Regions from separate parts of the Mus musculus genome. Here regions 1, 3, 4 and 5 are each reported to be linked to region 2. The links are microRNA targets in miRTarBase. Many come from high-throughput screens and were not tested one by one. Region 2 holds a microRNA gene; each other region holds the end of a gene's coding sequence.
Evidence for each region. The annotated mature microRNA mmu-miR-741-3p reads UGAGAGAUGCCAUUCUAUGUAGA and lies in region 2 at 2,294-2,316, opposite strand. An mRNA with a match to its seed (bases 2 to 7 or 8) in the 3' UTR can be bound and repressed. Matches are read on the target gene's strand: a 7mer-m8 pairs with bases 2 to 8, a 7mer-A1 pairs with bases 2 to 7 and ends in A, and an 8mer does both.

Region 1: miRTarBase lists Ddr2 as a target of mmu-miR-741-3p. Seed matches in the 3' UTR shown: 7mer-m8 at 1,583-1,589 and 8mer at 2,264-2,271.
Region 3: the mRNA of Zcchc9 is a reported target of mmu-miR-741-3p. Seed matches in the 3' UTR shown: 7mer-m8 at 661-667.
Region 4: miRTarBase lists Rpusd2 as a target of mmu-miR-741-3p. Seed matches in the 3' UTR shown: 7mer-A1 at 3,979-3,985, 7mer-m8 at 3,696-3,702, 7mer-A1 at 3,506-3,512, 7mer-A1 at 3,159-3,165, 7mer-m8 at 1,407-1,413 and 7mer-A1 at 1,404-1,410.
Region 5: miRTarBase lists S1pr3 as a target of mmu-miR-741-3p. Seed matches in the 3' UTR shown: 7mer-m8 at 1,211-1,217 and 7mer-m8 at 3,012-3,018.

What each region holds. Positions count from the first base shown.
Region 1 is chr1:169,973,804-169,978,911 of GRCm38, reverse strand. It overlaps Ddr2 (discoidin domain receptor family, member 2), which reads left to right. Exons shown (of 17, transcript NM_022563.2): 17 at 923-5,108. The coding sequence ends at 1,057. Among named protein-coding and RNA genes, the nearest start is that of 3110045C21Rik, 6.9 kb to the right of the region's middle.
Region 2 is chrX:66,794,516-66,799,623 of GRCm38, forward strand. Mir741 (microRNA 741) reads right to left here and starts at 2,360; the gene lies at 2,290-2,360. It overlaps Mir463 (microRNA 463), which reads right to left and starts at 4,782; the gene lies at 4,708-4,782.
Region 3 is chr13:91,792,444-91,797,551 of GRCm38, reverse strand. It overlaps Zcchc9 (zinc finger, CCHC domain containing 9), which reads left to right. Exons shown (of 6, transcript NM_145453.2): 6 at 298-1,019. The coding sequence ends at 416. Among named protein-coding and RNA genes, the nearest start is that of Zcchc9, 13 kb to the left of the region's middle.
Region 4 is chr2:119,038,237-119,043,344 of GRCm38, reverse strand. It overlaps Rpusd2 (RNA pseudouridylate synthase domain containing 2), which reads right to left. Exons shown (of 3, transcript NM_173450.3): 3 at 1,147-5,108. The coding sequence ends at 4,586. Among named protein-coding and RNA genes, the nearest start is that of Rpusd2, 6.0 kb to the right of the region's middle.
Region 5 is chr13:51,419,462-51,424,569 of GRCm38, forward strand. It overlaps S1pr3 (sphingosine-1-phosphate receptor 3), which reads left to right. Exons shown (of 2, transcript NM_010101.4): 2 at 1-3,336. The coding sequence ends at 460. Shc3 (src homology 2 domain-containing transforming protein C3) reads right to left here. Exons shown (of 12, transcript NM_009167.5): 12 at 3,928-5,108. Among named protein-coding and RNA genes, the nearest start is that of Gm32834, 3.3 kb to the left of the region's middle.

The DNA of each region.
Region 1 (5,108 bases), not on the chromosome of region 2:
CAGCTAACTTGCTATTTTAGCAGAAGCCAAATATTTTTGCTTATTGGCCTTTTTACTGGCAATTAGAAGTTGATGGGCATGTGTTATTATTAGACTCTGGGTAAAGCCCAGCTCCTATGATACATGATCCAGGATGGTGTTGTATGAGGTAAGGCAAGGCAATGGGAAGTAGCTAATGATTAACTAGGTACAAATATCGGGTTCAGCAAAGGTAATGATGCTTTTATGGTTGAGTGATCATGGAAAGTTTAAGTACAGTTTAGTAATCTGTCAATATAGCAGGGTATTAAAATGTATAGGTAAGGAGATGATAGTAAAAATATAGAATGCGGGAGATGGACTGGCAGTTAGTAAAATAGCATCTTGCTTGTGGAAATGGTAACTGGAAACTTCAGAGTAGCATCCTAGGCTGGAATTATGGCATCATAATTATACCTGTTAATGCAATCCAATCTCTTCTAAATGAGAACAATACAGAGAGGGGAACATGGAGAACAATGGTGAGTATTGCTAGGATACAGCCTTCCTCCCAATTTATACATCTGGCTGAATATTATTCCAATAAAATTGCAATAAAACCTCAAATTCTTTAGCAGAAGCTACAAGTGTGCTTTATTTCTGTCATATTGGCTCAGACAAGATTCACCCTCATTGACGGCAGATCTGAGTTCTTTTGGCATTGGTGGAACCTTTAGTAGGAAGGCAGGGTCCTCGTGAAATACTGCTTGAGAGGACTAGAATAGAAGAAGGTAATAAGAAAGGGGTTGATGAGCTTTGTGTGATGGGAGAATAGACACAACACCCGTGTCTTTTGCTAAGTTCAGTAAAGTGGCGAGGGTACACATAGAGCTATGTTACAGTCCATTCTCTTCCTGCCCCTTAATATATATTTTTCTCTCTTTTAAAATGTTTGTTCCCATAGATCTATCTCCCTCAACCAGCCCTTTGCCCCGACTCTGTGTATAAGCTGATGCTCAGCTGCTGGAGAAGAGAAACCAAGCACCGGCCATCCTTCCAGGAAATACACCTCCTGCTTCTTCAGCAAGGAGCCGAGTGATGATGCATCAGCACCTGGCAGTGTTCCTGTGGCCCAGATCCTTCCCACAAGACCTACTGCTCACCCACATCTAAGCCACTCCAGCTGGACATTCAATGGACCCGAGAGACAGAGAATTAGTCACTCTGCCCTCTCTGTCCCTTGCCTCCTCCACTACACCTCCCTGCTCCCTACTATTGACTCATATATACTTTTTTACATGAAATAACTAAAAGAAGAAAAAAAAATATAGAGCAGATATTAGTAAAAGAAATGTTACTTGATATACCAAATGGTTAGATAATGAAGACTAGAAACTCAGATAATTTATAAAGGTTATGCTTCTGTTTATAAGTGTGCAGATCCTACAATATTTTTCCGTGTCACTTTCTGTAAAATACCTTTAGAAAGAAAAACTTGAAGAATATGAATGTCTTGAGAAACATGAGATTAGGCTTAAGGAAAATACTTAGAGGTAATGAAGAATTGCAGGACTTGGCATTCCACAACAAATGGATGATTTTCTGATTTGGACGTGACTCTCAGATCTCTCTGTCTCTGTCTCTGTCTCTGTCTCTCTCCTCTCTCTCTCTCTCTCTCTCTCTCTCTCTCTCTCTCTCTCTCTCTCTCTCTCTCTCTCTCTCTCTCTCGTCAAAGTGAGTGGCATGTACTTAAAAACCTCTATCTTGTGTCTTGGAATGAATGTTTTCTTCAATCATGGCCAGAGATCAGAGCCTACCCATGAAACAGGGCATATGGATAGAAAGAAATGTCTGTTGTAAGGCTTGAAGTAGGACACAGAAAGGGAAAGATTGCACAAGCTTCCCGGTAGACCATGGTCATAGGAAAGAAGGTCCTCGGAGGATGACTCGCAAGTGTACTATTTGTTGTTCATCTGTGAGGGTCTTCACCTGTGTGTTCTAGTGACAACTTGACTTTACTCTGTAAAGCCTCAAGTTTTGATATTTTAATGGTTGCTCCATCAGTTCCTCTTGTCCAGTTCTATATCTTTCACTATGTGATGCCTTTGTGGGATTTATAGACTAGGGCTTCAACTTCTCAGGCACAAGTATCCAATGTCATGTCCAATATACAAGAGATATGTTTAGAGTGTTTCCAAAAGTTTGGCCAAGACCCCTGGAAAAAGTTATAGGAAGACTGATTTCCACTTTTGGGAAAATATGGAAATAGAACATATGCAGGTGGGGGTTTTCCCAGAGATGGGGAATCTCTCATCTCCGAAAAGTTTCAGATACTAGCTGAAGAACTCTGCAGGGAAGAGGTTGTTGACTACTGGGTATATATGTATGGGATAATAAAAGGATGACCATTTGGTGTTACTGAAAGTGCTTTTGCCAAAGAGAGGGTGGCCAGCGGCAAAGCATGAAGTTCTTTTCTGGCTTTGGGATTCACGAGAACTGATGCATGATCAAGCAGGAGTCACCTTAGTGACTAACTTAGTGACCCTAAGTTTTCATCCTTCACAGACTCTAAGATTCAGCAGCAATCTACACTACAAAACCCTTAAATCCTATAGAGGAAACCAAGCTGAGGTAAAATAGTGGTGATCTGCTTCTGTCTATCCAGTCAGCTTGCTCCATGGTCTCTTAGAAACCTGAGAGCTTCTTGGTTCAGCCTTCAGCATGGCTACAGGACACAGCAGATGTATAACTCTAAGTCTTGACATTAATTTCATAGATCCCATTCGCTCACAGCACATTTACCTCCTCTCCCATGGCTTTTCTACCATTCTCAGCAAGACTAACTTCGATCCCAGAGGTAGGAGAGAACATTGGATTGGGAACTCTGGCCCTGTGCTGCCTCAAGCCAAGTATGTCATTTTCCCAAGTCTTGCTTCTCTCTGAATTTGTTTTCTTATCTGTCTCAAAGGAAAACCGAATCTATGATTTAGGAATCTCTTGGAGTTTTGCTTTGTTTTGTGCTTGCTGGAGAACTAGATTTGTGGTTGATGTAGGTTCAGTTACTGCTCAGACAATTGTGGCCAGTAATAGTGATCCCGAGAGACATCATTTAAGTAAGAGCAACACCTGCATTATATCTGCTTTAGAGTGACCAGTGCTGCTTCACGTTATCTCATTTGATAGTTCTAGGGCCAGACATGTTTCTTTCACAACTCTTGACTATATACTCTTCAGGATTCTGCCCCCAGTTCACTGTATTCCTTTACAAATGAAATTTCCAGGACTTTGCTTTATGGAACTAATCTATCCCAGATGGCTATCAAATATGTATCTTCATGTACAGGCACTTTGTTTTTGGTATGAAGAAGGTTCCACCTTCTGGCACTGAAACCTTTGTATTACAGACACAGGTTTAGTTTCTAGTTACACTAGTAGAGTTTAGCAGTACAGGTCTGAGTAGCCAACCATGGTAGAAGGTAAAGACTTACTCTGTAGACAGGTAGCTCAAATCTAAACTAGGGAAATGAAGGTAGGTTTTGGAAAAGAAAGCAGAAACAGATGAGAAACTGTGGGATCTTGTTATTTCCCCAAGTAACTCGTGATCACGATATATGTGAACCATTTATGTCAAGATGTCCTTTAGACTATCATATTTCAATTTATACCTTTATTGATGAATGCATACATTAACCAGGTCCATTTATGTTTTTATTATTGGGGATCATACCCAGAACTCACATTTGCTAGGCATGGGTCCTGTCATTGATCTATGTTCAAATCTTGATCTGGTGACCAGATAAATGTGTAACCATGTCACATATGTGACCTGGAGTGGAAATGAGTGCCCAGAGGAGAGCATGCATTGTTGGAGCTGTGGAAAGATTGTCTGTGAACGCTCAAAACTGTAATACAAAAGAGGGCTGTATGCAAGTATGTGAGTAGTGTTTTTTTTTTTTAAGTTGTTACATGAATGTGTGTGTGTGGCTGGAAGGAGAGGATGGGTAGAAAATAAGAAAGAAGGCACAGTGAAAAGAGGCAAGGAGAGGTTCTGGGGAAGATATGGGGTGAGGCAAGTCAAACGTGGTAGAGACAGGGTTGGCTGGAGGCCATGAAGTCAACGCTGATGCATGCCAAGAGATCTGAGAGAGGTTAGAAAAAGTGACTTGGGAAGAATGGAGGGTAGGTAAAGGAGAAATGCTGGGTGAAGGAGCCTGTCTTTAGTAAATCGATGTCAGGTACACCGTAGGTAATGCAAGGGATTTTTGTAGAGTTGAAGAAGGACATGGTCTTCATGGATATAGAAACATGTGGCCACCAGAACCATTAGGGAGTCACCTATTCATCTCAGGAAGTGGGTACAGAAGGCATTTCGCTCTCCTGTGGGTTCTAGACCACATGTAGGGTTGGTGACAATGCTGTCTGCGCACTGGCCTTTGGTGTTCCATGTGCTGTTGGGGCATGAAGGTGTATGAGCGTTTGGTAGTTACCAAATACACTTTCAATAATGCTCATCCTTCCATGGTCTAAAATGGCCACAGCAAACATGGAAACAATAGGTGTAAGTTAGACAATACTAAGTTTCATCTGATCTTTGACAGAGGGGTGTGCCATATTGGAAACATGTTTTCCACACAGGCACCCCACAAGAACAGTGTGATGTGGGCGTAGACCATGTGTTTTAAGTAAAGAGGAAATCAGGGGGCGTGTCAGGATGAAGGGAATGTGGGAAGATGTTCCGAAGACATGCACTAGAAAACAGAACGGTGTCTGTTTTCGTCCAGTACTAAATGAAAAGAATTGCAATACATTGCTTATTGCAATTTTTATCCTAAGTTGAATCCATGAGCCTGGTGCTTGCAGCATAGTTTTTTTGTTTTGTTTTGAAGCCTATGTCCTTGGGCACTGTGTGGGGCAAGGCCCTGATGTTTTGGCAACATGCAGATTCTGGTCTCCTGGAAACCTTCATATTCTTTCATATTCTAGAAACAGATGAATGTCATTGGCACTTGGTGAATTAATTAGAATCCTGAGCTAAGAGGGAAGGAAGCTGGGTAGTGACGAAGGACTTGAGTAGGCTGGCAGGAAAGGACTGGGGAGGGACCATTTAGTTGTCCCGTGTTTTTCAGAAATTTCTCATTTTGCAATGATCT
Region 2 (5,108 bases):
TGACATCACCAAAAAGTTGTATCTACAAACTGCAGTGGGGGAGGCTTACATTAACTCAGAGACACAGAAACAAGGAGAAAAAATAAACTTGTACATTTAAATTTTTATTTTCAGTATCTTAAATGTATACATTTTTCATTACTTAGCAATTTCTGTGACATCTATCACATCATCTATCATCTATCACAGCACAATACCTGAAAATCCATGTATTTTTTATAACTCTGAAGTGATGCCAAATTCTTAACCTCTGAGTCATCTCTCCACCCCAGTGGCAGCCTAGAGAATAAGAAAAGATTTTTACAAACTGCATTATCTGACAGAAGACTAATATGCAAGATATATAAGGAATTTAAAATTACATATAAAAATCCAATTAAAAATAGGGTATAGGTCTAAACAGAAAATTCACAATAACAGAAACTCAAATGAATGAGAAACACCAAAATAAATAAATGTGCAAAATCTTTAGCCATCAGGAAAATTCAAATAAAAACTACTTTGATATTCCATTTTACACCTGTCAAAATGGCTAAATATCAACATGTGACAACGTGATAGAGAAGATGTGGGGCAAAGGAAACACTCCTCCATTGCTAATGGGACTGCAAACTTGTACATCAAAAATAGAAAATATGGTGGTTCCTCAGAAAGTTGGGAACTGATATATCTTAAGATCCAGCTATACTTCTTTTGGGCATATACCTAAAGGATCTTCATCCTACCACAAGGACAAATGCTTAACCCTGCTCATTGCCGATCTATTCATAATAGCCAAAAATTGAAAACAATCCAATTTTTTAAGTGTCCCTCAAACTGAATAAAAAGCCTGTGGTACATTTAAACAATGACGTATTACCTGTTAAGAATGACATCATGAGACTTGCTGGGAAATAGATGGAGCTAGAAAAATAATCATCCTATGAGAGTTTTAAAAAGACCCAGATAGAAACATATGGTAAGCATTTACTTCTACGTGGATATTAGCCAGTGAATAATGATAACCAAACTATAACCTCTTTAGCCAGAGGGGTTACATATAGCAGAGGGAATAGTTTGTAACAATTAATGAAAAAGGACACTGTAAATTTGGAAAGAGCAAGAAGGAATATGGAAAGTTTGTAGGGAAGAACAGGATATAATTATATAATAATCTCACAAAGTAAAAAAAAAAAAAATAAAACCAACAACTTTTTCTATTCTATCACTTTTATCTAGGTAGGATGCTATTGGAGGCACTGTCTGTTATTTAGGGTGGCTCTTCTCATTTGAAATAATCTGACCCTGTTGCCTGTGGCTCATCTATTAGCTGATTCCAAAAAATCAGTCAAGCTGAGAGCAATAGTTAGTCATTATACCATTACTACCTAGAGGTGATCAAACTCATTTGGTTTCTTGAGCCATAACCCCTAGACAAATAAATAAATGTATGCAGTATGTATGTATGTATGTATGTATGTATGTATGTATGTATGTATGTATGCATGCATGTAAAACTAATCTGCAAACACTTAAGCAATGCTGAGTGGAAAAAGTAGCTTTTCACAGGGATAAGCCAGCAAATTAGTTATTTAATACCAAGTAGTCTACCATATTATATACATACTCACATATTTATGTGCACACGTGTACACACACACACACACACACACACACACACAGAGAGAGAGAGAGAGAGAGAGAGAGAGAGAGAGAGAGAGAGAGAGAAAGGGGGCCATATGGGAGAGTGGAGGGTGGGAAGGAAAGTGAGTCAGAATTATATTTTAATTCAAAAACTTAAAATTTCAAAAGAGAAAATACAAATGCTAATATTCTTAATGTCTATTGTGAGAATTCGAGTAGCAGCAAACCTCAAAGTTCACTAAAGAGCATCTAAAATGAACATAAACATCATTATATGCGACATACAGGATGAAACTTACAGTACATGTAGAATGAAACTGTTCTCATTTAAATCAAGTCACCATCAGCATCACAGCATAAAGCAGCAAACAAGAAGCTTATAAAGAATCTTCTTATTATGCCTGGATGCCATGCCCTCTTGCTTATCTGAAAGTCTGATAAAACAAATATAAGACTATATTCATTTTATTTTTTCAGATTAAGAATAAAATTATCAATGTCCATATTTGTATTAACATATCTAAATGTGTTCTGAAGGTTTAAATTAAGTCCTCCTTAGAGGATATAGTTTCTGAAGGCACAAGATCTTAACAAAGATCGGGAAGCATTATACTTAACACTGCAATGATCTTCCAAGGCCACAAAAAAAGAAGAATGTTATGAGCCTTAATCTACATAGAATGGCATCTCTCATGCTTACATGATTTACATGATAGGTACCAATCTACGTAGATCAATGCACATGAGACATTTTATATACTTCTGATAGAAAGCTAGTCTGTCACCTTCAATTAGAAATCATAACTCCACAATTCTTGCATTCTTACCTCATTTAGTAGTAAATCTTAGAGAATACCTACCAATTCTACTATATCATGATTTTCTTTCACATAGTATCATCTTATGTCACCATTTCTATAAATAGTTTTCACTACAGCTAATATTCAGTTTTTTTATTCAAATTAATACATCCAGCACGTTTTACTTACTAAAAATGTTTTTCCCTTACAATATATTCTGATCATGCTTTCACCTATTCTCAGATCTGCCCTACCACCTCACTCATCAACCCCAAACATCTTTCCCTTGATTTAAAAAAAATGAACTAGCAATAACACAAAACTCATCAAAATGAAAGTTAAAGAAAAAGCAAAAATCAGAGAAACAGTTACCATTACAACTATGCATGAAACATATATTTATTATTTCTAAATACTAAGGATAGTAAAACATACTTTTACCTTGTCAATCTTGCAACCTAGCCTATATCATATTCTTTTTTTTTTCCTATATCATATTCTAACACCATGGTGGGAAAGACATGCGTACATAAATTACCTAATTTTTATTTACTTATTTATTTATTTTATTTATTTCCTAACTTAATACCCTCCATTCATATAGTCTCAAAATTATTTGTGAACCAAATGATAGTAAAATATTATCATATAAAAGAATAATATTTCCTACAAGATCAAATGGCCATCTAAAATCCCAGAAGCCCCAAAACTTTAAGTTTTGGAATACCATTTTCATATTCACGAAGCCACAATAAATGAGTAAAGTTTTCTTCCACTTAGAGGTAAACACACATTTATTTCTGTTAATTGGAAAATTATATTCTACTTATAAATACTATAAAACTAGATTAACTTAAGGTTAAAAATAAACCAAAAATGTGAAGTCCCGCTTAAAACTCTTAATTATCACTCAAAATTTATCAATTCACCCTACAGCATAAAATATAAACCTTAATTGTATTTATATGTCCTTATGAAATAATTCTATAGTATTCTTTCCCACATATTTCCATCTAGTTATTATGAGCAGTTATTTGCACGAATGGCTGTCAAAATTGAGATTAAACCAGGAAAAGCTCATGATTCCTCAATCCTACACAAAGAACTATACACAACTAGAAAAGCCAGTATTGGGAGATGTCTCCTAACTCCCAGCACTCATGGAAGAACATTCCATTTGGTTGTCTAGTGCAAAACATTCATCCTGAAAACATACAAACAAGTAACACTATACAGACTTAGCAGAATATATTTAGGAATAAATAGCTATATAAAAATACATCAATACATTCAGTAACAATTATTGACAAACATCATCAATTTGAGGGAGAGCAGGGAGGGAAATATGAAAGTGTTTGGAGGGAAAAATAAGAGGTATAAATATTATAATTAAATTATAATTTAAAAATATACTGAACTAAATCTGTAATTTAAAAACATGTAATGATTGTTGTATCTGAATGTTTATAAATCTTGATGTGTCTGCAAGGTTAACATTAAAGAATAAATGCCACATGAAACTCAAGAAGAATGACACATGAAACTCAAGAAGAATGAAGACTGAAGTGTGGACACTATGCCCCTCCTTAGAATTGGGAACAAAACACCCATGGAAGGAGTTACAGAGACAAAGTTTGGAGCTGAGATGAAAGGATGGACCATGTAGAGACTGCCATATCCAGGGATCCACCCCATAATCAGCATCCAAACGCTGACACCATTGCATACACTAGCAAGATTTTATTGAAAGGACCCAGATGTAGCTGTCTCTTGTGAGACTATGCCAGGGCCTAGCAAACACAGAAGTGGATGCTCACAGTCAGCTAATGGATGGATCACAGGGCTCCCAATGGAGGAGCTAGAGAAAGTACCCAAGGAGCTAAAGGGATCTGCAACCCTATAGGTGGAACAACATTATGAACTAACCAGTACCCCGGAGCTCTTGACTCTAGCTGCATATGTATCAAAAGATGGCCTAGTCAGCCATCACTGGAAAGAGAGGCCCATTGGACTTGCAAACTTTATATGCCCCAGTACAGGGGAACGCCAGGGCCAAAAAGGGGGAGTGGGTGGGTAGGGGAGTGGGGATGGGTGGGTATGGGGGACTTTTGGTATAGCATTGGAAATGTAAATGAGCTAAATACCTAATAAAAAATGGGAAAAAAAAGAATAAATGCACCTTACTAAACTTTGGTCCTTTAGATACAAATGCCAAATTAAGGCCAGCAAGCTCTAACAAGGGTTAATGCTTCTATACCACAATGATGTTCCAGGTGATGAACATAGTGAACCTTCCTCTACCTTATATGGTGTCTATCATCATTTATGTTTTACATGATGGACAACAAATTAGGTAAAGCAGGGTACATCATACCTTTAATATAAAAATGTTGCAAATGTAGCTTCCATGATCCTCTTTATCTTTTAGCAAAGTACCAATTGTACATTGTTGCTAAAACTTGACATACTTTGTGTATAATATATATACATATATGTACACACACACACACAATCTACAAATTGTCACCAAAAATTCCTCCAAGAGAATATCCTCTGATGTGTCTTCTGTTTCAATTAATGGTATTCTCTACCAAGACAATACGGGGGACTGTAATTTCACTTATATAAGTTAGAATTTCTCGTTGAAGTTATTTTTCTTCCTCCTGTAACATGCAAGTATTAAAA
Region 3 (5,108 bases), not on the chromosome of region 2:
CACCGAGTCCTCAGTGATGAACTCGGGGAAGAAGTGAGGGAGCTCTCATCAATCCGTGCATTGCAAAGTAGCGTCTGCATTTCCCTAATTGGGATGAGAAATTGCCTGTGGTACTCGGAAATCAAGGGTTCTAATCAATTACAGAATTGCTCACTTTCCTGCAGTGATGGAGTCATCTCTCCTTGTGATTATTCATGTCAAAACTAGTTCCTTTACTAAACCAATACCACTCTCAGTGGAAGCATTTGATTACTGTTGTTTTTATATCTTGATTTTTTTTTTTAAATCCCTCTGCAGATCGGATCATCACGGTTGGTCGCTGGGCAAAGGGTATGAGTGCAGACTATGAAGACGTGCTGGATGTGCCCAAACTGCAGAAACCTAAAACCAAAGTACCCAAAGTTGTTAATTTTTGATACTAATTGGTACAATTGTTAATTACCACCTCAAGGTTACTTTCCAAACTCAGCCTTTAGCGATTGAAGCTGGGCAACTGTGGAGGCAAAGCTGTGTTATAGACACCACTCTGACCTTGGTAGCTTGCCTACAATCAATCTATCAAGGCGTACAGGTTGATTAATTACACTCTCTAGAAATGTGTGTGTGTGTGTGTGTGTGTGTGTGTGTGTGTGTGTGTGTGTGTGTGTGTGTGGTCTATCTATCTCTCTGTGCCTGTGTGTCTGTCTGTATTTGAAGCAGATTCTATGTAGCCCAGGTTGGCTTCACACTAATAACCGTGCTCCAGCATCCAGAGTACTGTGCCTAAGAGCATATTTTACAGATGGAACTTAGAAATGACTAAATGCCTCTATACCTGATTATAGCAGTCATCACTATAAATGTAAATTATGAATCAAAATTGACCCCTAAACAAAGCACATGCCTTTCAGCTTGTGAATCAAAAAATATTTTGTTATATGCTCTTAATTCAGAGTATCAATTTTTTGTAATAGAAATTTATTTATATGTTGTCACAAAATCTGTAATTCTTAGTACTGAATAAAATTATATCAGCTGTTTGTCTTTGTTGAACTGATCATTGTTACTTTCACTCTAGAGTACCTTTAAAAACAATATTGGTCCCAAAAATAATAAAGTAAAAGCCTTAATAGAGATAAAAGGGGCTCTCTTTAGTTTTGATACAAAGAATTAGAAATTATTAATATTAAAGAGTCTTCCAGCATCACAGTTCTTTTTCACCTTCAGTTTTTCAAGAGAGAAATTCTAGCCAGAAAGCCAGTGTGCATTCCTCAGACAGAGCGACGGCATGACAGACTATTAGTCTCCCTGGCTGCTTCCGCCTGCTGTAGCTGTGGCAGGGTGTGGTGGAAGGATGGATGCATCACCATAATAGAGTGAGAACACTAATCAGAGACCCATTAGCTTCTTTGTCTGATTTGATGAATACATGCATATTTAACGTACATTCCACGAGTCCTGCCGCTGTCACTGCAGCATAATGGAATGACTGGTGGCTTCTGAGTTTCATCTCAAATTCTACCTGATTGAATCCATTTGTAGCTAAAGGAAGCAGCTGTGATTAGTTACTGATGCCTCAAAAGCTAAATATTTACCAAATAAGAAAAGAAACACGGCCTCTGTTTTCATGTCTACACAGCTTAACAGTTGTAGTCTTAATAGGAGCTGTTCTTTTATTTTTGATGAGGGAAGAACATGATGACAAAACATTGCTCAGCATCCCGGAGCTTAAGGAAACTAGTGCCACTTAACATGGAGACGCTGTGGTGGATGTCGCCAGAGCACAGACGCCTGCAACATCGAGGGAACAACGGGAAGAGTGCTCTCCAAACAGTCCTCACTGTAGCAATGCTGCTAGCCTGTTTGCCTTCCAAAAAACAGTAAAAATAAAGGACAGATGTTGAGGGCAGCGTTTAAAAAGATGCTGCAGGACGGTCCTGGAGGCAGTGGTGGTAGGACACCCGAGTGATGGGCTAGCTCTACACCTGGGAATGCTGGTGACGCTTGGCATGTACTTTGTCCACCCAGCATGCAAGGGAAGGTGTCAGAAAGGGATGTTCTATTACATCATCAGGATGTGTGGGGCTGGGGAGAAGGCTCAGTGGTTAGGAGCACTGACTGCTCTTCCAGAGGTCCTGACTTCAATTCCCAGCAAACACATGGCATCTCACAACAATATATACTGGAATCTGATGGCCTCTTCTGGCATGCGGGCATACATGCCGATAGAGCACTCATATACATAAAACAGTGAATCTTAAAAAAAAAAAAAAAAAAAAAAAAAAAAAAAAAAAACATGTTTTGTTGAACACCATAAAACTTGGCTAGTATTTTGTCTCTTAGACCTTTGTCCACCTGATTTTCTCTTCTAAGCACGTCTTGCACCTTTCTGTGACAGGCTCCTGAGTACGTGCCGCTTGAACAGCCCCAGTTTCCATCGACAGTTCCGATTGGCTGCTCCACTGACACATCAAACTCAAGTCCACCTGCAATAACCACTTACTCAGCGCCTTTCTCGTTCCTTTTTTTTTGTTCGCCACAGTTATGCTCCAAGCCTTGACTCTCCGCTTCTCTTGACAAGCCCACCTCTGTTTCCTAGCCATGCCCTCTCGCATTCAGCTCTCTAGCTGGCTCGGCAGTGTCTGCAAGCAGACACTAGGAAACGGCCCCTTCCTTCTCCTGATGCTTCTCGTTCCATTGGTCCATCTTTCCTCCATTAATTTAAAGCCTACCAAGTACTTCCTTTGAACGCCTTACTCTAGCTTAGAGGCTATAGGAGAGCAGGACTCGTGTGGTTAGTCATTTCTGGATTCCCAAAGGTGTCCACATAAAAGAACCATTCACATATGCCCAGGGGTTGAATTAAACGATGGAGTGAGGTGAAGGTAATAAATAGGCGATGCCGTTGCTAGGAGCTGCTTCACATGGGATAGTCCAGAGGAAGCTTTTGGGAAGACTTGCCCTGAAGTCTGAATGACAAGGAAAAAAACCACCATAAATATATGCAGAAAAGCATCTCAGAAGAGGGAAAGCAGTCACAGCCCATGGAGAGAGAGCAAGGTTGCCGTATGATAGGACCAGAGAGATGATGTGTGTGGTTGAAACTGCAAAGGTTCCTTCTAGGCAAGCCTGTAGTGTAAAGTAGGACCTGGTCGTGGTTCCATGTTCCTCTTAGCAGGGTCTAGACCAAGCACCCTATTATGTGCTGACTAGCTCTTCGTGTGACATCAGTGGACGAGTGTCTGTTAAACAGATAACACAAGTACCATCCACTCCTAGGAGGTTTGTATTCTTCATGGAAGTGCCTGATCAGACGGAAGATTTGAGCGTGTTTTCTCTCATCTGTGAGCTGTCTTTTTCCACCTTTGAGGATATCCTTTGGGGGCACAGAAGTTTGGTCAAGTCCAGTTTGTTATTTGTTTTTCTATTGATGCGTATGCTTTTCATTTTATGTCACATGAACCATTTACTAGAGGTCGTGAGATTTGTTTTTGATGTTTTGTGTTTTCATGGTTTGCACTTAAATGTATAATTCAACTGTGTTCCTTTTCTTGAATGTAATTTGTAATAAATGTCTGTGATGGTTTATCTATGCTTGGCCCAGGGAGTGGCACTATTTGGAGGTGTGGCCTTGTTGGAGTAGATGTGTCACTGTGGGCATGAGCTTTAAGAGCTTCATCTGGAAGCCAATATTCTGGCAGTCTTCAGATGAAGATGTAGAATTCTTCGGTCCTCCTGCACCATGCCTGCCTGGATGCAGCCATGTTCCCACCTTGATGATAATGGACTGGAACTCGGAACCTGTAAGCAAGCCATAATTAAATGTTGTCCTTGTAAGAGTTGCCTTGGTCATGGTATCTGTTCACAAAAGTAAAACCCTAACTGAGACAATGTCTAACCCATCCTTTTGCATGTGGATATCTTACATTGTTCTTGAACATATTTATTTATTTATTTATTTATTTATCATTTTCTTACTGTTCATCTCTATGTATGTGTGTGCAATGCATCTACCTATGTATGCTCATGTGGAGTACAGAGATCACTGTCAGATGCCCTCCTCTCTGCTTTCACACACACACACACACACACACACACACACACAGAATTTCTCACTGCAGCTGGAACTTGCTGTTTTGGGTAGCCTGGCTGGCCTAGCCTAGAGATCTGCCTGATTCTGCCAATCCTCCACCCGCATCACTGGGATTACAGACTTCACTGCCATGCCTGAATTTTATTGGCGAGTACAGATCTAAGCTCAGGTCCTCATGCTTGAACAATATGTTATATGCATATAATAAAGTCATATATGTATGATGACTGTCAGTGTCGTGGTTTTGTGGGATTCCTGAGTGTGTGGATAAGTGGCTTTCTGACTGTTTGTTTCTTGTGCCTTCTCTTGGGGTCTCTTCTTTTTGTTTGCTTGTTTCATCCTATCCCAATATTAGTTTTTGTTATATCATATCATATATTACAATTCTTTAGAGACCTGTTTGCTTTATAATGAAAAATAGAAAGGAGGTGGATCTGGATGGGAAGATCAGGAGAAACTGGGAGGAGTATAAAGGGAAGGGAAACTAATCAATATATTATGTAAGAAAAATTTATTTTCAATAAGAGGAAAAAAGAATAAGGAGAATATTTAAAAGTATTATAGATGAAACATGTCACCTAAAAGCCCAGAGACAGCATGCGACATCTGTGATGTGGGGGAAAAAATCCTTTTCAGTTTAGAACTTTATGCCCATTGAAAATATATGTAAAGAAGATCAAATGAAATGGAACACCTCACCGAAAGCAAACTTCACTATTGCTCTTTGAGTAGAAGTGAGATTTTATGAGGAATCAAGTCTAAGATGCAGAAAGAGAGATGAAAGCCCATCCTGGGAGCTGGCATGAGGACCATACGGTGGAAGGGGAGAACCAACTGCTTTAAAGTTACCTTCTACTTCCACATTTGCACCATAAGGCACACATGTGCATGCACACACACACACATACGCACACACACACACAATACATACATATATGGAATCAAAATTTATAAGAGAAACAATACTGGTATGCAACTGCACAGATTGAATAACTTAAAGCCAAGGAATAACATAGACAACAGAATGTCTGTGTTT
Region 4 (5,108 bases), not on the chromosome of region 2:
TGCGCCACCACGCCCGGCCCATCTCCTGAGTTTTACCAGCTTCTAGGATTTGATGGCTTGTTTTGGGTCTAGTTTCTACAAATAAAAGATAGTTGAAGCTGGAGGAGGGGCAGCTACACACTTGTAACCTAAGCATTTAAGGATGTTGAAATAGGAGGAATACAAGCCCGGGCTATATAGTGGAGAGTCTCATCAACCACAATGAAAAAAAGCAGGTAGGTATTGTATTGTTAGTTCTTTTTCTTCTTTTTTTTTTTTTCATTTATTTATATGAATACACTGTAGCTGTCAGACACACCAGAAGTGGGCATCAGATCCCATTACAGATGGTTGTGAGTCACCATGTGGTTGCTGGAAATTGAACCCAGGACCTCTGGAAGTGCAGTCAGTGCTCTTAACCGCTGAGCCATCTTTCCAGCCCTGTTATTCTTTTTTTCTTTTAAATGTATTTATTATCATAAATAAGTAACTGTAGCTATCTTCAGATAGATCAGAAAAGGGTGTCAGTTCTCATTACTGATAGTTATGAGCCATCATGTGGTTGCTGGGATTTGAACTCAGGACCTTCAGAAGAGCAGTCAGTGCTCTTAATCGCTGAGCCATCTCTCCAGCCCCCTTGTTAGTTATTCTTAATTCATTATTTATTTTTATTCTATGTGTAGAAATTGTGCCCTTCCCCCAGCCTTGAGTGGGCTAGTTCAGACCTTTTTTGCAACAATCGGCTAGCCCACCTCAGGTAGAGTCTTCCAACCTAGGTGAAGTGTATTGTCCTACCATCTGCAGCTTCCTGCACGAAGTCACTACGTGTTGAGCAGCTGAGCTTGTCTTCCTGACAAGGTCCTGGCAAAGTGAGGAATGGCTTTTGCCCCCCTGTAAATTTCAGATCTTAGAATTAAACATTGAGCCTTGATCAGAGAACTTTGTCTTGGCTCGTTATTTCTCTCATCGCTCTTCCCATCCATCCCCAGCTTTCCTTTCAGGAACTCAGTAACCCATGGCCGCTGGCGGCTACAGGTGGCACCCAAATGAGGGATCTGATTATGGAAAGACCGACTGAGGGACATTCTTGGTGAAGCTCCACAGAAAATGAAGAAGATGGTATCCTACACGGTAAGCAACATACAGCATTAATGTTTATGCTATAAATTTCATCTTTTGAAGGCTGTTGATTTTAATGGTGCAAAAAGGATACAGGTTAAACTGAGTCAGCGTCAGCCCAATGCTGATATCAGCTAGAGGTTGACAGTGGAAAATGGGGCTGGAAAATTCTAAACAAACATTTGTCTGTAGTCAAGAACTGTATCCGATGAAAGGAGTAGGGCTTAAAATAAAATAAATAAGATAAAATAAAAAGAATAAAAAACAAAAACAACAAAAGGGAGATGCTAGATATACAAATGACATGAGAGAGATCAAGTGAAGGAAAATGGATTTCAGAGCTCTCCCAGGGACAGAAGGAAATCGGGAGACTTCTTGCTTCCTCTCTGGCCCCTACAGTAGGCATCCTTAGTTCTGGTTACATCAAGTTCCTTCCTTCTCTGCATTGTCTGTCCTTGGTGCACCAGTCTGACCATGTGTCAGTTTGTGTGTTTTTGTTTTGTCTGAATGACTGTCGTTCTATGTTTCATGTTGAAGAAAAACTGGTTAAAACTTTATCCAATGGATATCCATCTCTGATTCAGTCTCAGTTTGCACAGCAGAAGCTGTGCAACTTTTCATTAGTTAGATCACTGAAGAAAATGGCATCCAATCTCCCAGCAACCATTAACTGCCAGTAGCCCCTCCCTCACCCATGTTTAAATGACAGTGGACTCAGAATTGCGCCTGGCTTGCAGAGGTAACTACTGCTGCACGGGTGCAACAACCCAGCCACTCCCCACAGACTTTTTAAGGCACCCCTCCTTATCCTCTGGCTCTTCCCTTCTTTCCCAGTCTTCTCCCATATGTTCTGAGCCTGGCAGGTGTGATGCAGGTATCCAGTTTCAAGAGGCTCACTCCTGAACCTCTTGCTGCCATGCCTTTGTAAGTCAGGGTGTTTAGTTCTTACTCTCACATGAAATTACCGTGAGGCTTGTTATGAGAATACCAGGGTTTTCTCTCCTGATGATTTCCTGATTCATAACTACCAGTACTTGGCTCCCATTTTCTAAGGGAGTGAAAATAATCAACAATACCACTTTATTTTAAAGAACGGGAGGGGGAAATTACTTGAATTAGTAACAGAAAGGGAAGAGACTGATAAAAGAGTGAGAGGCGCCATCTACTGGATCAGTGGCTACTTCCAGCTTTGGGTGAGAAGGAGGTTTCATGTTTTTACCCTTTAAATCCTGCTCAAAGCACTCAAATCAACAGCAAGGTTACTTCACACTATCCTGAACTATTACAGGATATTCCAACCCCGAGTCCCTGGAAGACCATGAGAAAAGATTGATACAAAAATACCTAATTAAGACTAACAGCATTTACTGCTTAAGTGCTAAAAAATGGGTCTTAATCCTCTAGATTCAGCTTCAGGAAGACTCATTCCCTCTGTTGATTATGAACTTATCAGGGAAGAATTGTCAGCTGGTGATGCGCCACAGTCCTGGATGGTTATACATCAACAACTCTTTTAAGACGTAGCGCTGAAAGAATTGCAATGGATGGTTGTATGTTTGTTTGCTTATAGTCTATGTTTTATTATACACAAGAAATCTTCAAAATCCTGAGTGGCAGTGCATGTGTTTAATTCTACCATTTGGGATTTAAAAACAAAAACAAAAACTTCAAGGCAAGCTTGTACATGGCTGTCTATAACTCAAGCAATTGGAAAGCTTAAGAAAGTAGAAACTGAGTGTGAGGCCAGCTGGGATACTTAGTGATTCTGAGGCTATCCTGGCTACATAACAAGACCCTCTCAAGAAAAACAGAGAGAGAGAGCAGGAAAGATGGAGGAGGAGAGGAGTTACCCCAGATTCAAGGCTTACAAAAATGTCTGTGTGTGTTATTTTCTTTGTTTGACACAGGGTCTCAGTACACTCCCCTCTCCCACTCCACCCCCCCCCCCCGCCCCACATACACACAGAGGCAGCTTTAGCAATAGACAGACATTTTCCAATTATTTTGATGTGGCTAATGGCTGATAAAATGTGGTTTTGAAAATAAGAATGCGCTTCACATGAGAGAAGAGCTCATTTGGAGTGGAAAGACAGCCGTGATCACGCACAGTGCTTACCTGTGGAAGGCAAGGCATCATAACAGAGTCAGTGCTCTGGTGGTAACAGTCCTGACTCCAGGAAATCTGCCATTCTAAAACATGTTAGTTTTGTTAACTGCACTGCTTCCGTCTTTGTTATTTTGAGACATGAGTCTCACTATGTAGCCCTGGCAGAGGCCAGAAGAGGGGAAGGGTCCCCTAATGCTGGGGTGTCAGGTGGTTGTGAGCCACTCAAAGAGCAATGAGTGCTCTTAACCAGACCGTGTGTGTGTGTGTGTGTGTGTGTGTGTGTGTATGTGTGTGTGTGTGTGAGAGAGAGAGAAAGAGAGAGAGAGAGAGAGAGAGAGAGAGAGAGAGAGAGAGAACCAGAATCATTTTTGGATATTTTGTAATTGGGCTGTTAATTCTTTTGTTAAGATTTTATGTCCAGAATAAATAATAAACAACACAACAAAAAGAGTATATTCCACTGTGAGAAATTATATCACATGCACTAGGAGAGAGATGATCAGTAGAACAAACAGAAAAGAATAAGTGTTGGGTAGCTTGGGGGGCGTGGCACACTCCTTGAATCCCAGCACTCAGAAGGCAGATGCAGGTGGATCTTTGTGAGTTCAAGACCAGCTTGGTCTACAGAGCAAGATCCAGGACAGCCAGGGCTATACCAAAACCATGTCTCAGAAAACAAACATACAACAACAAAGAACAAAAGAAAAAAGAAAAAGACACAGATTGTCTGAGTCCATGCCTGTGGAATAAAGAATAAACTGTTTACCAGGAGTTGAGAGAGAGAAAAAGGGAAGAATGTGCTGTACAGTTTCCTGTAGGAATGAGAAATATGTTTTGAAATCTTGAGATAAGGTTGCTCTAGTTTGTGAATATAGTAAATGCCAACAGTGTTTATCTTAAAGCGGTTAATTTTATGCTATGTGAATTTTATCTCAATTAAAAAAAAAAAAAAAAAAAAAAAGCAAGGCATGGTGTTTCATACCTGTATTCCCGCTCTGGAGGCAATGTAGGAGGATTCAGGGTTCAAGATCTGCCTGAGCTAGAGAAACTCAGAAATACTAAGGGGCTTGGAGGTCAGTTGTAGAGCACTTGCCTTCTAATGGATCTAGATTCTATCCTAAGCACTGGGGGGAAGAGGGAAGGGATCGTAAGAAACCAGTAAAAATGGACATACAAGGTGTTAGAAAAAAATGATCTATGTACAGATCTGAAAGCCCCAACAAGCCAGAAGGAAGGAGGTAGCAGCAGGTACAAGCAAGGTTCCTTACTGTGAAACCTTGCTCTTCTCCAAACCTGAGTATCAACCAATGGGAGCAGTCCCTGTCTCAAGGCCCATCCTTGCTCCAATCCAAGAAGCCATTTTTCCAATGGTCACATTCCTCAGTCTTCTTGCCAGTCATCCCGTGCCCAGGCTGGGATGGGTGAGACGTACTCAAAGTCTGGCCCTTTATAGCGGAGGGCATGCAGGAACATTACGAGATCCTGGGGCAAGGGATCCTGTCGCAACACTCGGCACTCGGCACAGAGCGGGTCTGTTTCTTGAGTCACATCTGCTTTAGCTGCCTTCTCTGGTGTGTCCAGATGCTGAGGGGCTGCCTCAGCTATTCCATCTATCTTCTGGGCTGCTGTAGCCAACCCTTCCAGGCTGTCTTTAGCCAACTCTGAAGAGGGAGCTGTCGAGTCTATGAGCCCTGGCGTCAGGTCACTCTCACAGAGATCTAGCATACTCAGGCTTTCTTTGGCCTGATGTTCTGCAACCAGGTCTCGGAGCAGTTCCTCGTCTGTCTTTGGAATGTGGCCACCCTGGCCTCGAGAAGGACCCCAGGCAGTTGAATTGTAGATGGGGTCATTGAGAATCGGGTGGCCCAGGAATTGGAGGTGGACTCGGATCTGGTGAGTGCGA
Region 5 (5,108 bases), not on the chromosome of region 2:
CAGCCGCAGGGTGGCCAACCACAACTCTGAGAGATCCATGGCCCTTCTGCGGACCGTAGTGATTGTGGTGAGTGTGTTCATTGCCTGTTGGTCCCCACTTTTTATCCTCTTCCTCATCGACGTGGCCTGCAGGGCAAAGGAGTGCTCCATCCTCTTCAAGAGTCAGTGGTTCATCATGCTGGCTGTCCTCAACTCGGCCATGAACCCTGTCATCTACACGCTGGCCAGCAAAGAGATGAGGCGCGCCTTCTTCCGGTTGGTGTGCGGCTGTCTAGTCAAGGGCAAGGGGACCCAGGCCTCACCCATGCAGCCTGCCCTCGACCCAAGCAGAAGTAAGTCAAGCTCCAGTAACAACAGCAGCCACTCTCCGAAGGTCAAGGAAGACCTGCCCCGCGTGGCTACTTCTTCCTGCATCATTGACAAAAACAGGTCGTTTCAGAACGGGGTCCTCTGCAAGTGACGGTCTCAACAGGGCAAGCTCTGCAGCCACACCTATTTATTGCATGCATCACTTCCACGTGGGGCCTTAAGAGATCTTAACTCTGGAGGTCTGCTTGCTGTGGCCAGACTGTGTGGTATCTCCTGAGGAGGAGACCCAAGGAGTCACCAACGCATTTCAGCCTGGACTTGGATGTGACTTATCTGTTGCGGGCTCCATCCTTCTGAATGTACCAAGCTGCTGACACGGTGCACTGCCTTCGGATGCCGCTACCCCTGGTCCAGGGAAGGCAGGTGGTGATGTGCTATGCACATGCACATTGGGATGATGTCTCCCTGCGTTCACACTACATTTATTTTCCATAGAATGGGTGCTCATGTGTGTGTGTGTGTGTGTGTGTGTTCGTTGCTGTGTTGTACAGGATGTATACGATTGATTTTCCCAGGTGGAACCCATTACAAAGTGTCAGTCTTCCACACATCATTGGTCCAAACCTGCCCACACTGCTGTCCCAGGTTCAGCATGTGATAAGGTCATGTCCCCTTCCCAGTGCCCTTGCACTGGTGTTCTAACTCATAGCTGTGAAAAGTTACTAAAGTATTCTGTATTCTCAAAAGCCTCACCCAAGAGCAGCCCAGGTGTGTGGGTCTTACCCTTACATTCCTGCACCCCTCCTCCCTCTTGGGTCCCTTGCGTAAGCTTAGGTACACCTAAGAGCCAAATTATGCGATCATTGAGGCATTTCTGAAAGCCACAGAAAAGCCAGCCGGGATCTCTCGGAATGCAGGCACCACTAAAGGAAGAACTCCTAAGGAGAGGCAAGGTGCTCTCCACTGTGGGCAATCTTTCTAGGGGACTGCAGTCTGTCTGCTGCATGTAGAGAGTTTCCAGCAGTGACGTTCACAAGCCAGCCCTTCATCTGTATGGTCCTGAGTTCAAGTCTATAGAGAGAAGCTTGAGGCTGCTTGTCCCCTTTGCTGTCACCCTTTGCTGGCAAGGAGCTGGAGCTGTCAGCAAAGCTTCTCAACTCCCTCAGTTATGGACCCTGTCCAGGACTATTCAGTGAGAGGATTCCGCCAGGCTGGGAGGCGTGATGTAGTTATTTGTGTGCTCTTTAGAGAGAACCATTCCAATTCCCATATGATGGACACTCCAGCCACTCTCCTCCGCTTGGACCTGCGTTCATTTGTCCATCCTGTAAAGAAAATGCGTAGAAGACACCTCTGAACATCCCCTCCCCAAGGATTCCGCCCACAGGGCACACAGATGAAAGGTGGGTGCGTTGGAGAGTGGCCAGCATCCATGCTCCCAGAACAGCCTTCGGAAAGACTCTCATTTGAGGAAACGTCATGTCAAGGCTCCCCATAAGTTGATTAGTCTCAGAGACTGTTGCCTTATGAACCCTGGAAGAGCAGCCTTTACACACTCATGGGCCTTTTTAAAACTGATTTTTTTTTCCCTCTTGGTGGTTACCTGATGGCATTTGCTCTTGTTTAGGGACATTTTTCTGGGCCTTAGGTAACCCTGGTCTGACTAACTAAAGACTTCCCCTCATGTCACTCCTGGTGTATATAGGTCACTGCCAAGAAGTTCTGCTCCATCATTGGCCTTGCCCTTCTCTATGTCACCAAGAAAATGTCACCGTGTTGACAAAACCCATGGCATTTCTGGAAAAGGAAAGCATACAAGTGCTGGGTTAAGGGAAAAATAAATAGCAGAGCAGTGTGTAGGGGAGTTGAGGTGGAAAGAGAACAGGGCTTGTGGGCACGCTCTTTCATGATTGCAAGGCTTTGAGGCCGTGGGTCTAGGTCACTGATATTAATCACACATTGTACAGGATTCTGGCTTCTCCATTTCCTCCTGTGTCTGCTTTCACACAACAGCCCTTGTGGAGGGCCAGGCCCACCATCCCCAGCTAGGAGGTGACATTTGTAGCATGACAGACTGCCAAGCAACTGAAAATAAAAATACACTAAAACCCAATTGCGCTCACTTGATGTATGCCCAGTGGATCCGTCGACCGTGATGCCAGTGTGCACACCTTTCCCTAGCTAGCCTCCGAGACAGCACTGAGACATCGGGTGCATCCAACCCTCACCCTGAAGGTCAAAGGTCGGAAACCAGTGACACCAGAGACCCTGGGGCTCGCCCAAGGTAGTGAGCAACCTTGGCTACTTGCAGTTTATGTTTGTTAATAATAAATAAAACCAAAAGCCTGTATAAAAACCCATCCTGGAGGCCTGTGTGGTATGTTCTATTGTTTTGGAATAGACACTCGGGGGGTGTAGTGGGGTGGTCTTGCTTCTCTCCCTAGAACCTGATCTCACAGCATTACAGGCATAAACTACATTTGATGCCCAATCACTAAGTCCCTTTTATCCCCCAGGGCCATCTTGTAGATGATGTTAGATTGAAGCTTTAGCGTACTGGATGCTACTGATACAGGTCTGGGTAGATGCTGTTTTACTGGTGGTGGTGGTGGTGGTGGTGGTAGCGGTGGTGAGTGTGTGTATGTGTGTGCCCACCCATGTACACTATTGTGCATGCAGGAGAGGCCAGAGGTTAATGTTGGATCTCTCTCTCTCTCTCTATGCTCTCCATCTTGGTTTTTTTGTTGTTGTTTTGTTGTTGTTGTTGTTGTTTTGTTGTTTGTTTTTTTGAGACACCATTTCTCACTGAACCCGAAGCTGCCAGCTTTGGCTAGATTGACTGACCAACAATTCCCCCCAGGACCTGTGTTCCTCCTGTCATGGTTATAGGCACAAACTGCCCTCTGTGGCATTTACGTAGGCACAGGGCATCCCAGGGGAGCCATTTCCCAGCAGATCCTATGATTTGAAGAATGGTAATAGCCCCTCTGTAGGGAAGAAATTATAAAATAAAAATGTCATCCAACCAGAAGACTAGGTTTCATTTGCCAGTGTCTGCAGATGAGCAAGCGGGTAAGCAGCCGGCAGAACTGGCTCCCTGTTTTATAGTCGGTAAGTTTTAGCCACTAACCTGCATCCCACACACGGAGGATCCATATTTGGTGTGATGCTTTGTTGACGACAGATGTTATAACTTGTAGTGAAAAAGACACCTCACCCCCACCCCCAGTTCCACCTTCCCGCCGTCTATCACCTCTGACCTGCCCAAGGCAGTCTATGCTCCAGATCGCAAAATTGGCATGAATCTTTTCAAGTGTTTCTGACAAGTTATCCCTTTTCCCACCCCTGAGGGAAAAACAGAAGACCAATTTTCTAGAGAAAGGTTTCAATCTGCCCTCCTGTCTTCTGCGATGCGTTATAAGACCCAGGGCTGGCGAGTGGCTCAGAAGGCAATGTTGCTTGCCTTGGTGACACTTGATGTCCTGAGTTCGATTCCCAGGGCCCACATGACAGAAGGAGAGAAGCCCTACAAGTTGTCCTGTGACTTCTACGCATGCATGATGGCGCCCTGCCACCACACACAGACGTGAGCTCTGTCACGCAAACAAGAGACACTTCTTTTCACAGTAGCCTTTATTGCCAACAACAGACTTAACACTTACAGTCACTGAAACAATTAACTATTTAAAAATGGTTACTCCTCTCAATCTTTGAGCCGTGGTTATTCTGTGTGCTGGGAAAGAGCCGGTCACAGAAAGATAACAAGGTGCATTTTATAGAAAATGTCTAATGACATCGCCGCCAGTTCCATGCTTTGGAGACTAGTGACAAATGAAAAAAATGAAAACAAACAAACAAACAAAAAAACAAAAACCTCATCACCCACATAGTTGTCTAAGTCAGAGGGCAGAGGGTCAGCTCTGAGCTCTGGGATTGGAAGTGCATGGGTGGCCGTCCCAATGATAAAGGCACATGTTCCAGTACCTAATAATAACAAGAAGAGCAGCATTGTCTAGGGTTAGCCTGCCACCAGCCATACCTCGGCCATGGTGATGGGATGTTCTATGCTGCCTCCTCGTGGTTATCCCAGAAGCTCGGCTGTGGTGTGCCAGGACCGTGGTGGAGGGCATGAGACCGAAAGCAACACCGTTTCTCTAAAGAGTCCCTGCAGGTGAGGGAGTCCAAGCTGCCTGATCACCTTCACCTGTTATCTCTTGGGAATGCCAAATGGTCGTCAAATCGCCTAAGTTTTATCAAAGAAAAATATTAGAAAACTTAAAGTTGACTTTGTATTTCTGCTCCTCAACAGGTGACTTAGGGAGCCAATCCCAGGCCAGTATCAAAGTGGCAAGGGGCGGTTGGCCACACTCCCAGGCAGTAACTGTTACAGTAACTGTTGGTGTTTCACAATGGTTAACAGAAACAAAAAGAAATTTCAAATATGTATATATCAATATGTATAATTGGCCACCCGAATGCTTTTGGAAAACTGTTCAATACCTTGTTACACATTACATTTACACTGAGCTGTCCCCTAATCCTGGGGCTTTTGAACATCAAATGTCTCATTCTGAACACAAAGAAATTCACATAAATTTCACAATACTCAGAAACAAGTTATATCCAAAAGTCAGTTGAACAGAGAACATTCAATTGGCAACTCACACATAGTGTTGTTAAACAAAGAAGAAGAAGAAGAGGAAAAGAAACTAGTTGTCCCCAGACTAGTTAGTCTACTGTCTCTGCCTTGTGAACTGTTGCTTGACTCCGCTGTGAGTGACTTTGGTTGTGGTAAAGGA